2 linked regions of the Yarrowia lipolytica genome follow. The protein of the gene in region 2 binds, or shares a complex with, the protein of the main gene of each other region. Links are inferred from orthologs where the notes say so. Each region holds a gene or a part of one and is shown on either strand. Other genes may lie near its edges. The genes, in order: YALI1_B27485g and YALI1_B14993g.

The links.
Region 1: YALI1_B14993g (region 2) and YALI1_B27485g share a complex: the UniProt entries of both Saccharomyces cerevisiae proteins name them as parts of the large ribosomal subunit. The link is inferred for Yarrowia lipolytica from reciprocal best matches to the Saccharomyces cerevisiae genes RPL38 and RPL28.

The regions. Positions count from the first base shown.
Region 1 is NC_090771.1:2,744,324-2,752,065, reverse strand, and holds YALI1_B27485g (60S ribosomal protein uL15), read right to left. Parts: upstream 3,536-7,742; coding exon 3,487-3,535; intron 3,148-3,486; coding exon 2,747-3,147; downstream 1-2,746. Other genes in the region: YALI1_B27500g (uncharacterized protein), read right to left, coding at 144-2,006; YALI1_B27460g (uncharacterized protein), read right to left, coding at 4,085-6,034; YALI1_B27454g (uncharacterized protein), read left to right, coding at 6,623-7,742. UniProt on the Saccharomyces cerevisiae protein: Component of the ribosome, a large ribonucleoprotein complex responsible for the synthesis of proteins in the cell.
Region 2 is NC_090771.1:1,495,274-1,502,435, forward strand, and holds YALI1_B14993g (60S ribosomal protein eL38), read left to right. Parts: upstream 1-4,052; coding exon 4,053-4,058; intron 4,059-4,107; coding exon 4,108-4,317; downstream 4,318-7,162. Other genes in the region: YALI1_B14948g (uncharacterized protein), read left to right, coding at 1-203; YALI1_B14959g (uncharacterized protein), read right to left, coding at 624-704, 927-1,160; YALI1_B14978g (uncharacterized protein), read left to right, coding at 2,565-3,641; YALI1_B15015g (uncharacterized protein), read right to left, coding at 4,886-6,235. UniProt on the Saccharomyces cerevisiae protein: Component of the ribosome, a large ribonucleoprotein complex responsible for the synthesis of proteins in the cell.

The sequences.
Region 1 (7,742 bases), about 1.2 Mb from region 2:
GGTATCGTACTATGTAGCTGGCTGTATGGCTTCTCATTTGGCGACACATAGTGGTACAGACACATAAAGGTCATTGTCCATTCAAATGAACATTAATCATTATATTACATCTATAGTTATTCGTACTCCTTTTCCTCTGAGCCCTACTCTTCATGCTCGTCCTCTTCCTCTTCATCATCTCCAACGTACTCCACCTGCCACTCGGCAGAAATGTCCCATCGAGAACCAGGAGCGTTCTTAGACACGTACTTGACAAACTTGAGAATGCCCTTGTCTCGGACAAAGATGTTGAGGGTGTTCCACGAGGCCTGGGAGGTCAGAAGAACGGGATCGTCTTCATCTTCATCCTCATCTTCCTCATCGCCCTCTCCTTCACCAGCCTCTTTGGCTTTGGCTCCTCGGTATACAGCCGGGTCGTCATCGGCATCTTCGTCAACAGCCATACACAGCTCGTATCCACCATACTCGCCGTCTTCCCAGCCCTTAGTGGGGGTCAGGCACAAAGTGGCTTCTAGAGCAATGTCAGACTCGTCTTGGGCAGTGGCCAGAGTGAAGTCAAAGCCAGGTCGGAATCGTCGAGCAATGATGTTCTCGGACTTTAGAGCCAGAGAAGAAATCCGCGAGATCCATCGTCGCAGAGCTGAAGATTTGAACAGGGCAGCAACCTCCGAAACCTTGGAAGTAGCTGCTTTGTCAGTGTCCTTGAGTCCAGAGAGAATCGTTTCAGAGTATTCGAAGCCTCCATTCTCGTCAGGCCGAACTGTAACCTCTTCTTCTCCGACCTCAGGCTCCTTATCGGCCTCCTCAGAGCCATCCAGGTACATGTATCGGGCCTTGTGAGGAGGTCGAGCGAGCTTCCAGGGTAGTACAATCTCCTCAGACACCTGGGGCATCTCCTTGGGAGGTCTAGAGTCCTCGGCATCAATTGTTTTCTTCAGAACACCCACGTACTCGCTGTTGAGGAAATCCTTGATCTCGAGCTGCGAGTTGGTGCAAAACAAATCGTTGAGCTGCTTGACGGTCTTGATTGTCAGCAGATGCGGATTGAGGTACTTGCTGAGGTACTTGACGTCGTCGTCAGACAGAAACAGATCGTCATCGTCCTTGGGACCCTCCTTGAGATGAGCAAACTCGTCCTCGGGAACCTGACCGGGAGTTCGTTTGGGGAAGTCGTGTTCTCGAAGACTCTTGCTGGTCAATTGCTTCAGAGAAGACAGGGCTTCCGTTTCCTCCTTCTCGCCCTCAATATATCCCTCCTCTCCAACATCGGGAATATGGAACCAGCCAGAAATACTCATTCGGGGCTTATCAACGTACACCTCCTCGACATCGTGGAACGAGAGACCGGGCTGGATCTTGAATAGAGCCATCTGGTTCCAAGCAGGGGGAATAGAAACGGTCCAGTCGGAAGCAGGCACATTGGGTCGAATAGTGGGGAACAGTCGAAGAGCTCCTCCCCATCGAGGGTTCCATGGCTCGTCGGGATCAGGCAAGTAAAGAATGTACGAGATTCGTCGGGTACCAATGACATCATCGTGGTTGAGCAAGTGGCAGCTCTTCTGGTAAACGTTAATGCTCATATCCTGCTTCGAACCAGACAGATGACCGGCTCCGGTGATGTAGGACATGAAGTGACGGAACTCTCGAGAGTACATGGCATTTCGGAGCTTGAAGAGCGAGGGCAAGGTACCCAGCTCCTCTTCGCTGAGACCAGATAGGTTGGCCAGGTCTCCGGTCTGAAACACCTTGTAGATATCGGTTTCCTTTCGGGTGAAATGTACTCCTTCCATGATTTCCTTTCGCACGCTTCTCAACAGCTCATCGTCAATCAGCTGGGGGATAACTCCGTGCTTGTAGGGTCCCGACTCAGCAATCTGTGTCTTGAGCTCATCCTGAGAGGTCTGGTCAAGCAGTCCCTTGTGGAAGCATTTTTCAACGTCGTCAATGTGAGCACGCTTGGCGTCGGGCAGACCGGTTTCCTCGGGAGCTCGTTTGGTGTCGGTCATGACGGGTACTGCGTTTGTTGTATCGAAGGATTATTTTTTCTGGAAAAAAAGAGACTTGAATTTTAATACCAGATCATGCATGTAGATAATCAGACCACGGGTATATAGCATGTACTTACAGTACATACGATACATTGCAAGTGGTGTGGTTTTTACAGAACAAGTGGACAAAAGAAGCGAAAAAGGGTGACTCTGTCAAAAAAAACCATTATTCAACAACATTAGTCATATCCTATTGGTTGGCGTATTTCACACACAAGATGCTCTGTTCATAATGGCTTGGTACCAGGTATCGGAAATGCTTACTTCTACAGTAGTGTTGCGGAAGTTTACAACTCGCTCAAGTAAGCAAACTTCTCTTGGACAGCAATTTTGAAGGATATCAAGCAACATCGACGATGTCTCTGTGAAAGCGCTTGCCTCTATTTTTATATACCGTACGCATTGTACGTGGTTCCAGTTTTGTGCCAACAAGAGCTGGAATGGAAAACGTTGAGCTTCAAAGTATGTCACAACAAAATCAATCTACAGTACCTACCTACTGTACTTGTGGGCTATAAAAACGGACGACTCTCTGCTGCATAATCGGAAACATTTGCCTCTGAGAATTCTACTGCAAGTTACAGTAAGAGCCGCCTGATTTGTCTTACGATCTTACTCATACGCTAGATTTAACTCTGTCACAATAAATTATGCGAAATACATTTTTTGGGTACTTATTTTACAAACAAGTGGGTTGCTTAGGCAATGAGCTCAACGACACCACCAGCGGCCTTGATCTTCTTCTCAGCGATCTCGGAGACGAATCGAGCCTTGACGATGACAGGGACGTTGGGGAGCTTACCCTTACCGAGGACCTTGCCGTAACCGTGAGCGAGAGTGTCGATGACGGGGGCAGCGGACTCGGAGGCAGAAGAGAGGTACTTGTCTCGGTTCTCAGCGGGAACAAGGGCCCACAGGTTCTCGACGTTGACGACGGGCTTCCAGAAGTGGTTAGGCTGCTTGTGGAAGTATCGCATACCGACCTTACCGAAGTAACCAGGATGGTACTTATCCATGTTAGTTCGGTGGTGGTGCTGACCACCAGCCATACCTCGTCCACCAGGGGACTTTCGGTGCTTACCGATTCGACCGTAACCGGCTGTATGTTAGTAATGTGTTTCTCTGCGCAAAAGGGTATCTGCAAAAGTGCTTGAAGGATGTGGTTTCCTGCCAAGTACAGGTGGTTGGATGGAGTCATACAATCCGTCTGATGCTGATAAATGTGTGCATAAATAACGAGTTATGATAGCCATGACGCTCGCTCTGCATCTCAGACCTTCTTGTCCAAAAAGAATGTTTGTACATCCCTTCCCGACAATCAGTCTCTTTCCTCCTCCTCCAACCTCTGTACCCAGCAGGATATTTGATATCAACTGCTTTAATTATGCCAGTCGATATCGCCACACCATTCGCACTAGTTTCGTTTCTCAATACTTACCGGAAACGTGGCCTCTGTGCTTTCGGGTCTTGCTGAATCTGGTAGGCATGGCGATATGTGTTGTTCAGTGAAGAAGTTGAGACGTGCAGATATTTTTGGTTATTTGGGACCACCCAGCGACGGTAGAGTTTTCACATCCCAATCGGGATGTGACTGTGTTTTCCTTTTGGGATAAATCATGTGATATAACCTTAATCTATAACGTTACAGAAACATTAGATGAGACCAACAGGTCTCAGCTGACAGAATGAGGGGTATGCAACTATCAAGAGCAATCTCGAATGGCTGAGATTTTCAATTTCAGACCAGAGTAATCGGAAGCTGTTTTAGTTGTTCAGTTATTGGAATCAAAGTACGACCTCAACTACACCTTCAAATAGACCCAATTTGAGTTATAAACTAAATCTAACTATATTAGTTGACCCGTTAAATAAGCCCCATATACAGTAATATCTAATTATAAAAAATATAAAATTAAAATAAAAAACACACGTTATATTACAAGTATGTACTGTAGTATACGAGCACACCACACGCACACCTCACTACAGTATGACTCTCATTATTAAAATATGTTAGCTATAAATATACAACGGAGCTAAACCCGCTGCCTCTTGGTATCGCGGGAAACTGGACTTGCGGCACGCTTGGTCTTTTCACAAATGTCCTCCTCACTGACCTCCAGAATGGCTACCGAAGTGATTCGAGACTCGAACGCAATATCAAAGAGCAGACGGCCTCGAGACGCGATAGACGGCTGCGAAATGTCAAACACTCGCACATGACGATCAAGACCAGCAACCACGGTCAGATCCAGACCCGAGGCCCGGGACTCATACTGAACCCCCCCTACAAACCGACCCATAGAGGGCTGAAGAGGAGCTGTGGTACGGCTAGTCTGTAGATGAGGAGGCATGAATCTGTCCACAATCTCTGAGGAGCCGCCCAGAATGCCTGGTGCAAACAACTCTTCCGTATCACTCTCACGAACCGTCAGCTCTTCTTCGTCTTCGTCTTCTTCTTCCTCCTCTTCCTCGCCCTCATTAGGTAAATGGACGCTGGAGAGGGTGTTGAAGTACATGAGAGACTGCTCATCGTCATCGCACCACAGCTCTCGGAAGAAATCAGAGTCCCGAGAAGCACGCAACGAAGCAGAGGGATTGGCGATCAAATCGTCCGTGTCACGAGTCCAGGCTTGCCCTGAAGCTGTCTCTGGTCGTCTAATCGTCTGTAGATCACGGGCAAGAGTAAGAGGAGACCATCTCTGGTGTCGTCTTACAAGAGGACCCTGCCCGAACGAAGAGTATGACAGATTTCCTGGGGCTGCTCGGATCATTCTGAGACGCCGCTCTTCGCGTCTCAGTTCACGTGACGCTTCCCGGCGTGCTCGATCTTCTCCTCCTGTAGTTATCTGGATACGAGGACGCGATAATCCTAATACTCGCTCAAAGTACCGTCTATCGAACGGAGGCCGTCGAGGGGCTTCATCGGAATGGGTATCATCGTTGAGCACGTAGTGGTCTGTGTTGTCTGCATCAGGATCCGGTTCCGTACTCTGGTTCTGGTTCTGAAGTTGTTGCTGTCGAGTATGCTGTCTTCTTCGCATCAGCAACTCGCCCCACAGCGCACTTTGCAGATTATCCCCTCGGGAAATGGATGTGGACGGAATGGGCTCTGTCTGAGGCACTCGGGGGTCCTGGCGCGTTGCTGGACTAAAGAAATCTGCCAGAAAAACACTCCCTTCAGGCATACACACCTTGTGACGCACCTGGCCGTCATAATCCACCAACGACACCTGGTTCTGCGAGTTGGCCACGTAGAAGGCGTCTCCGCCTAACGAGTGGTTCATGTGGAGATGTGTGAGTGGATAGTCGCCAACCTGGATTTTCCGGACCGGCCGGGCAGAAACATTTGTCTGGTAAATGTAGGCGTCTCCATATCGTGACACCGCCACCAACGAGTAGCCTGGCTCGGCATTATCGCTTGTCCCACGCACATTAGTGAATCTCACGTCTGAAATCCAAATGTACTCTTCCTTGCTCGATCGCCACAGGTTCCTGCGGTTGGTCCGGATGATGGCCACCTCCAGAACTCTCTGTGGTCCTCCAAAAGCGACTACTCCTCGCTGAGTAGGGTGGGGGCGTAACACAGACACTGCATCGCCCAGGTGATGTGTGCTGAGCAGTTCGTCGCTCGTCTGTGTCTGGTCCAGCTTGCATTCCCTCACCGTCACCATGCCTCCAGTGGTGCATGTATAGAGCAGATTGTGTGCATAATCAATGGACGCGAACAGCTCTGAGGGGTGAAATACCTCTCTGTGGGCAGGGTAAAGCCTTCTCGGTGTGCCCATCTCCACGTCCAGCACCTCCACACTTCCATCCCTCCGCCCGAGAGCAACGTACTGTCTCTGGTCGTAAATCACCTTGGATACGTGCACCGCGCTACCTTCACTGAACCCCACGTCACGTACCTTGTGGTCACCCGTGGCGAGACTGACCTTGACTTCTTTGAGTAACCCGCTGTTTTCCAGGCACACCAGTAGCTTCATAGCAGGTTGAGGAAACTGATGCAGGGGTGTGGTTGTTCTTGTGATGTTTTGTCTTGAGTTCGTTATAGCGTTGTGTGCTGTTAATCTTGCAAGGTTGCGCGAGCTGGCTGTGTGCTGTGTGTATATATACTCGGCACGTTTTCCTTCCCTGTCTTGTGTCGTGTTGGGCAAGCTGTGTAGTCCAGAGACAAGTCTGTTTCGGTTATCCAGTATCAGGTATGTACTGTAGCTCCATGCACTCTGGGAGCTGAGGTTTAGAACCGGATTTTAATGTTGGGACATGCTCAAACTGACGGGGTTTTGGTAACCCAAATAAGCCTGTTGTTTTAAGAGACGTTTTAACAGTCACAGAAATGGAGAGCAGTATATGTATGTTGCAGGAATGTGTCTGGGTGGTGTTTGTTTTTTTTTTTCTTCTTTCGAGTCATGTGTTTTTATAGAATAACACTTACATAAATTCCTTCTCTTTTTTATACAGCGATATTACCACTCTCTAAGCTGCCTCGCTGCTGCCATTGCATCTGGCTGTGCATATTTTAATATGCATAATCGTTGCAAACCTCCATCACCATACTGTCAGCATCCAACATGAACCCCCCGGAAGGCATCATTATTCCGCCACCGGAGATCAAGGCCAAGATCGAGCGGACAGCCGAGTTTGTCGCCAAAAATGGTATTGCATTCGAGCACCGGATCCGGGAAAAGGAAGGATCCAACGCCCTCTTCTCCTTCCTCAATAATGACGACCATTATCATCTATACTACCAGTGGCGATGTGACGAGTACGCCAGCGGACGAACACGCGAGACAGACGCTAATACAGCTCAGCTCAAGCCCAAAGACACGTCTGATCATCTAATAGAACCACCTGCCTTCGAGTTCCACACAGTGCTTCCACCAATGTCGGCAGTGGATCACGAGGTCATCCACACCACTGCCCAACACACAGCCGAGTACGGGCCGTCGTTTTCTATGCTGCTTGCGAAAAATGAGGCTAGAAACCCCCAGTACGAGTTTCTCAAGCCCTCACACTCGCTGCACAAATTTTACCAGCTGTTGGTGGAACAGTATCTCAAGGTAGGTCAGGCATTAGATGCTGGTTTCTCGGCGCTTCCTGAAAGTACACGGACCAACATTGAGGCTGCTGTCAAGGACAAGTTCTACGCTCTGGGTCTAGCCAAGAGGCGTGCCGAGTGGATCTCCCACACTGAGCAGAAGAACCAAAGGGCCATCGAAGAGGCAGAAAGAGAACGGATTGCATTTGCAGAAATCGACTGGCATGACTTTGTGGTTGCAGAAACCATTGTATTTTCCGACAAGGACAAGACTGGGGAGCTCCCAGCTCCCCTTACTCTTGCTCAGCTGCAGTTCTCTTCACTGGAGCAGCGATCGCGAGGTCTGAAGCTGGAATACGCTCCCAACAGTGACGACGACGACGAAGAAGAGAATAAGGAGATTGTCACCAAGGGTAAGATGGAAGTCAAGGAGGACGCCAAGGAGGAGGCCAAGGAGGACGCCAAGGAGGGGAGTACAGAGGTGGTGGTCAAGGAGGAACCAAAAGTGTACTCTGCTCCTTCTAACATGAAAATTCGACCTGCTGGAACGTCCAAGCTCAATAAACTCAAGAATAGCTCTCCTGCTACAGTTGTTACTCCCTCTGGAGAGGTGGTTCCTGAGTCTTCGTATGATTCCCACATGCGAGTGTACA
Region 2 (7,162 bases):
ATCCAGAAATCTCCACCGAACTATGGGACGAGATTTGTCAACGCCAAGAGGAGGCTACAGGTGTCAGTGCCGAGATTTCCGGTATCAACTTCGACTATGGAGCCACCTCCACTTACTGTGTCCCTATTCATGGACCTGCTGTGGTTCTGAAGTTCGAGACAGTGGTTGAGCTGCTCCTGCTCCTGTTTCTCAATAATAACTAGACACTTGGGTACAAATAGAGACATGTTAGTCAGTCTGCCAGTGTTGCACGCATTGGAAGATGGCAAGAGATATTTATAGTGATTCATAACGTATACATTGTACAGTATGTACTTGTAGCGATTAAATCAATTAATAAATTTCATTTGGTTGTGATAGCTGATATCTCTGAAATTGGTGTGTCCAGATCAGATCAACTCATTGTGCAGTCTGTAGTGCAAGTAACCCCAACGACCTTTAAGAGATAATTACCCTTGATTACTACAGCACAGTGCTTGTCCCCTCGTGATCTTCGGTTCTTTCTTCCCGTTCACTCCTCTTGGATCATATTTTCATTTTAATATACGTAACCAGATGCAGATCTGACCAACTCAAATCCACAGCTGTCTATGGCTAAAAGTACAGCGTCAAGAGATGGAAATCTAGACTGCGATTTTCTGGAGCTGGGCAATGAGCGCTTTGAGCTCCTCGTCGGTGGACTCTTCAGAGGGAGTGATATATCGCTGTGTTAGTTAGGTTTCATATTAGATGCATGACCTGTAAGCGAGCAACAAGCGCCAGGCCAGCAGAAACAAGGAGTGAGATAGTGACCGGTAGTATCCAATGAGCAGTTGACAATATTCTTGAGTATCTGGTCATATACTTCAATGGCCTTTTAGTTATCGTGTCGATTGCTGCGCAGTCACGTATGGATCCTATTGGATCTTTCTGGACACAATACTCACCTTGTTGAGGTAGACGTTGATGTCGACTCGCGACCACTCCTCCAGCGGAGCCTTGGGATCCTCGGAGGTATCAATCTTTGCGTCCTTGACCTTTTTCGAGGGCTTCTTGGTCACCTTAGGTGTGGACTTGTTATCGAGGGAGGCTGTGGGCAGAAACAGGGCTGCGGTTCCTGCAATGACGACGGCTGCAGTAAACACGTAGAAGAAGTTTCGTGAGATGTTAGATCGGCTCATTTTGTGGGTTTGTGTCGGGGGCAGTTGGTGGTCGACAGTGACGATGTACTAATCAATGTACTTAGTAACCAAATTCAAATGGTCGTTATTGGCTACATATACAGAGTTTCCCGTTTGAAAATTCACATGAGTTGGGACTCGTGCAGAGTGTGGCGTATGGTGGCGCGTTAGACATGTCTGCGATGACGTGCTTGCGTGTGGTGTGGTTTGTTCTTGTGCAAGAACTTTTTCCAAAGAGAAGCACAACACATACTCATAGACAAGAACCGCTGTACGTATGTACTGAACCGCTCTGTTCACAAGCTCAGTCAGTCCACTGCGTTTCAATTGCCTGTTTTAAGGCTATCACGAAGACAGTTCGGGTGGGTCGAGTCACATGATACTTTTTTTTTTTTTTGAACGAACCAGTCCATTGTGAAGTTACCGTATGTACTTGTAAGTACGATATGTACTTGTAAGTACGATATGTACTCGTAAGTACGATATACTCATACGTACGTGAATTATCGTATCGCACTTGTGACAGACAATTAACCTTGTGGCGGGCCCACAAGCCGAACCACACGGATATTGAACTCCGCCCGTAAACCTCATACTGTACTAAAATTAGGATCTGAGATCATGCCAATTGGCTATGATAAACGATGACAAAACGGGGCCAATTCTTGGACATTCAGTACACGCTTGAATACCAATATAATGTCTCGTACTTGTACCTCACGGCTGTCAATATGGCAGCTTCTCTTCTTTACTCCGCTTTTCTTTTCCCAATATCTCTTTCTCGTCTGAGACAAAATCGCATGAGCTAAAACACTCCTTGGAACTTCTGTTCAGTCTTCTCCACATGTATTACGTATTGCAAAAGTTCGTTCTAAGAATAGGCCAGTGGAGGAAAATGACAGGTGACAGATACTGCACAGGACTAGAGTCGTTGGGTAGTGAGGCAGCCGAGGTTTAAAATATGAAAATTGCAAATGAAAGCTCCCAACACTCATTTTGACACCCTGTTAATACCGTGTTTTATCATCACCGACTTCACCATCACCTCCTCGTCCCACAAGCTCCCCGCTGATCACTGAAATATAGGGTTGACCTTGTACATCTTTGCCTTGAAAGTTGAACATACAAGTGTGTATTGGAGCGGTTGAACAGGAGATGTAAAGGCCGTTAAAGGCTTCCAAATAAGCACTAATCTTTGGTGAACTCTCCATCTCCTAATACTTCCCAAAATCGTCTTCTTGTATCCTCAATCCATCGGCACAAGCCCCCACCCCTCAACAGAGTTGACATGCATCAGCTTGTCCCCTGCGCTGCAGTATACGTACTCAAAATAGCTACAAGCTATAATAGCCAATATACCAGAACCACCAAACCTCACCACCACCTCCGCTCTAACGACACCTAATGCAACCGGTACGACAAGCGGCAGGCCATGAGGGCGCGTTAGAGGACGAGTCACGTGACATTTTCGTCAAGCGCGCGCTTCCCAAGGAAATTGCATTCTACCAACATGTTCAGGCTGGCGTCTCTCGCATTCCCGAGGGCCTGGATGACGAGGCCTACGAGCAGCATCCGGACGCCCCTACGGCTGACCTTGCCGGCGTGATTCCCGTTTTCATGGGCACACTGATGGAGCATGAGTCGGCGGCGGGCGATGCAGGAGGAGACGGGTCGTCTTTGAGTTACGAGGATATCAAACAGCGATTGAACAAGAATGGACAGGGGATTGAATTAGTGACGGAGTCGTCTACTCAACACAACCTACTTGCATCGTTATCGAAACCAGAGACCCACTCCGTTGGACGGGGCCAGGAAGCTCCGCTACACCCCTCAAATGCCTCCATTGTTCTGGAGAACCTCACCAAGGGGTTCATTAAGCCCTCCGTCGTGGATATCAAGCTAGGAGCCATTCTGTGGGACGATGAGGCGACCCCGGAGAAGCAGGAGCGAATGAGAAAAGTCAGCGAAACTACAACGTCAGGGTCTTTGCATATGAGAGTGGCCGGAATGCAGATATATGCTGGAAAAGAGGCTGCTAAGGAGCCTGGAGATCCGGAAAGAGGCATTGTGCCATCTGACTCGGGATACATTGAGTATGGCAAAAAGTACGGTCGGTCATTGACAGATGGGGACATATCGTCATGTCTCAACAAGAACATGTTCCCTGTCAGCCATCTTGGCTACGACCGTGCCTCGGCACTTATCTCCGTCATCATTCAGGAATTGCTTTACATTCGACGGGTCTTCCGCCGCATTGAAATGCGAATGCATTCGGCTTCTGTTCTAATCATCTACGAGTCTGACTTGCAGGCGTTTGATGACCGGCTTAATAATCAAGGAGAGGAAGAGGTTGGACCTCTGTACCAGGCTAAGATTGTAGACTTTGCACACACATCGCTTACGCCTGGAAGAGGTCCCGATCTGGACTCCATCGAGGGTCTCTCCAAGCTCATTTCTATCATGAAGGGATGGGAAATGTAAGTGTTGCCCAAAATAACTATACTAATGCATTATTATAGCATCGACTTGAAAAGGTACAGGGTTCTGGGCGATTGTGTGATGTATGGAGGCACCGAGATGAATGAGAGGCCAATGGTCACAGTCACACTGGCACCCATAGCTGACGTTGGAACGCGTGACCAACTTAGAACAATTACCCAAAAAAATGATGGGAAAATCCGTAAGGTTGCTTCAGAGTCTGTAAAGTATTAATATTATCAAACAGGAAATACAAGTAAGTACTGTATGTACCGTACATGTACTTGTAGCCAAACTCGACCTCCACTCAGCGTTCTCGCTTGTTACCCTACACACAGAACTCTATGCGCATCAAACCTGCAAGCTCGTATTAATCATTAGACGAGCTCTGGTTTTCAACAATACTCCCCCAAAATGGCTGTGAGTATTAGCACTACAAAGCAGTGTCGACACGCGGAAACTAACCCAGCAAACCCTCACTAGCATCAAGGACTTTCTGGCCACCTGCAGCCGGGATGACGTCGAGAGCGTCACCGTCAAGTACTCGGCTAACGACACCAAATTCAAGATCCGATGCCCTCGAATGCTCTATACTCTGACCGTTGATGATCGGACCAAGGCCGACAAGATTGTCCAGTCCCTGCCTTCTTCTATCAAGATCATCAAGATCGGTAAGTAAGAGGTTCCGCCGCTCATTTGATAATTAATTCAGCATTTTCCATCCATTATCCAGAGGAGGCGGTGGCAGGTTGCGGTATCTGATGGGGTACCGGTATGTACAGCATGTATTGTGCATTGTATACTACACCAAAATCAAATCAATGGAAGTGATCTACTCGTGGTAGCTAAAGTGTCTGTGCACAGGTACTGTAGCTGTGCTGACTTCCTCAGCAAGGAGGAGAACCTGGATGTGTGTTTGCATGCTCAGTACAGTAGAAGTAGTTAACAGTTCTGCATCCCCCAGTGGTCTCCTATGCATTATGCATCAACAGTACAAGTAATTGGATCTAATTCAAGCAACAGAATGAATGTGACTTGTTCTCTTGTCACCGTAGCTATTGATGCTTTTGAAGAATACAACACCTATGAACGCACAGTATTGTAATACGTAGAGCTCCCAAACAGTCACACAATTGGCAGCCTTCTCACCCCACAACTTTTAATCAATTAATCCACAAACAAAAACACTTTTATTATGCTGTAGTCGCTATCACCTTCAGCTCTATCTATCTATCGCAGTTGCTAGCTTACAACTTGATGTACTGCTCAACCTCCTTCTTAGAGCAAACGTACAGGGTCTCACAATCGCTGTTGAAACCGTTGAAGGTGGTGGAGGCTGCCACGGTGTAGGCACCAAAGGAAGTGAAGTACATCCAGTCACCGACATCGAGAAGAACAGGTAGCTGGCACGACTTAGAAATGCAGTCGATACCGTCGCAGGTGGGGCCCCACACAGAAACGTCTTGCGAGGACTTCTGCTTCTGGTATCGCTCACCGTACATGAACTTGCCCTGGTAGGTCAGAACCTTGGGCACGGGCTCCTGGTGGTCAAACAGAATGCAGTTCATGTTTCCGTAGACACCGTCGTTGAGGTAGAGCATGGCCTTGTTCTGGTTCTCAATGATTCGTCGAGCAATCACATGAGAGGCAATGGTGAAGGCCTCGGACACAAAGAACCGGCCGGGCTCAGCCATGAGGTTAACTCCGCTCTCCTCTGGGAAGTACTTGTCAAGAGCGTCCCCCAGAACGGCAGCAGAGGACTCAAAGGAATCGTCCGAGAAGCCTCCGCCGACATCCAGAGTGTTGAGGTGCATGCCAATGGCAGCTCCCTGGTCAAACACCCGCTTAGCGTTTCGCACAGCGTCCAGGAAGGCGTTGGGGTCTCCAGCGCCGGATCCCACATGGAAAGACACACCGGCCACGTTCAGACCGAGATCCTTAGCAAGCTGGAGCAGCGACTGGGTGTTCTCCAGAGCAGCGCCGTACTTGACAGAAAACTGACACAGAGACTGGGAGTCGTCGGTGACAATTCGGAGGAACAGCTTGGCGGTAGGGTGGTACTTTGCACACTTGTAGAGCTCCTCGGCGTTGTCAAACACCATCTTCTCCACGCCCACAGAGGAGGCGTATCGAATGTAGGACGCCACCTTGCAGGGATGCGCGTAGATGATTCGGTCCTGGGAGACACCGAGGTCCAGAATTGTCTGGATCTCGTTTCGGGAGGCGCAGTCGAAACCGGTGCCGAGGGCTGCGAGAAGCTGGAGAACCTTGGGGTCACCGTTACACTTCATGGCGTAGAAGGGGGTGACTCGGGGAAGGCAGTTACTCCATCGCATGAACTGCGAGTAGACGATTCCGAGGTCAGCCACGAAGAAGGAGTCTTCGGATCCAGGAGAGCAGGTCTCGAGATCGATAGCCTCGATTCGGGTCTTCATGGCGTTAGCAATGAGCTTCTCGGACTCAGAGAGGCCTTGGTCAATAGAAGCAGAGACCTCATCCACAAAAGAAGCAGGGTAGCTCAGAGTGGGGCACGGTCGTGTGCCGAGAAAGGATGAGTCGGCCTGGACGGGCTCGGGGCCAAGGATGTGAGGGGCCATCACTGTTTGCGTAACTTGGGGGAAGTTAGAACTTGAGGGGGTTACTTATGGTAAGTAAAATAGACCTGTCGAGAGCCGACAAATCTGTCTTGGAAATCACCGCAAAATGACGATTGTTTTGTGTGCGTAGCGCAGTGGCCGTAGACTCTGTTTTGTTGAGAAAAATAGAGGCAACGGTACTCGTACTTATAGTGGTAAGCGTGAGTGTGTTTTGGGGTGAAGTCAAGATAAGTTGCGAAAAGAAACTGCTGACAGCGCTGTATGTGTACAATTTGGGGTATGACTCGCCCTCTGACACTTTTTAGAACTCTAACCCTATCTGCAATCATTTTTTTTATTGCCCTCCCAGAGCAAACTCAACCTCCATTTTGCTTTGAGGTCCTATTAGCCATATGAGTGGCCCTTGCTGTTACACGGTTGGGTGAGACACAGCCCAGGTTGCGGTTTCAACTGTGGCTGTGAAGGGCTATAGTAGTGCTATCATGACGAAAGTAGCTTTAAAGTATTGCACGAGCTGAGAGGAGTAGGATGGTATGCTTTTTATCTCTCAACTTTCAACTTCTTCCTACTCGGAATTCGTTCTAAAATCTTCCATATAATTATTTTCGCGACTTCCACTTGCCATTACAGTTTGGGAGCACCTTTTTTGAACTTGTCCAGGTAAATGAATAATGGTCGTTGAAGTACGGGACTAGTTTGACCTATCTGCCTCGGTGGTGGAATTCGATCAACATTATCCTTGTATCTCTAGCACCAATAATAGGCAAGATAATCGCCAATATCACGCCCTGTACGGAGCATTCTCACGGTTTAGCTTCCAAGGGTCAATCAACAAGCATGTTTACTTAGATTGTAAGATGGCAAGTCCAAGAGCGGAATGAAGCCCCAGAAGGCATCCATAAGACCCCAGCAGCCAACCACATGCCG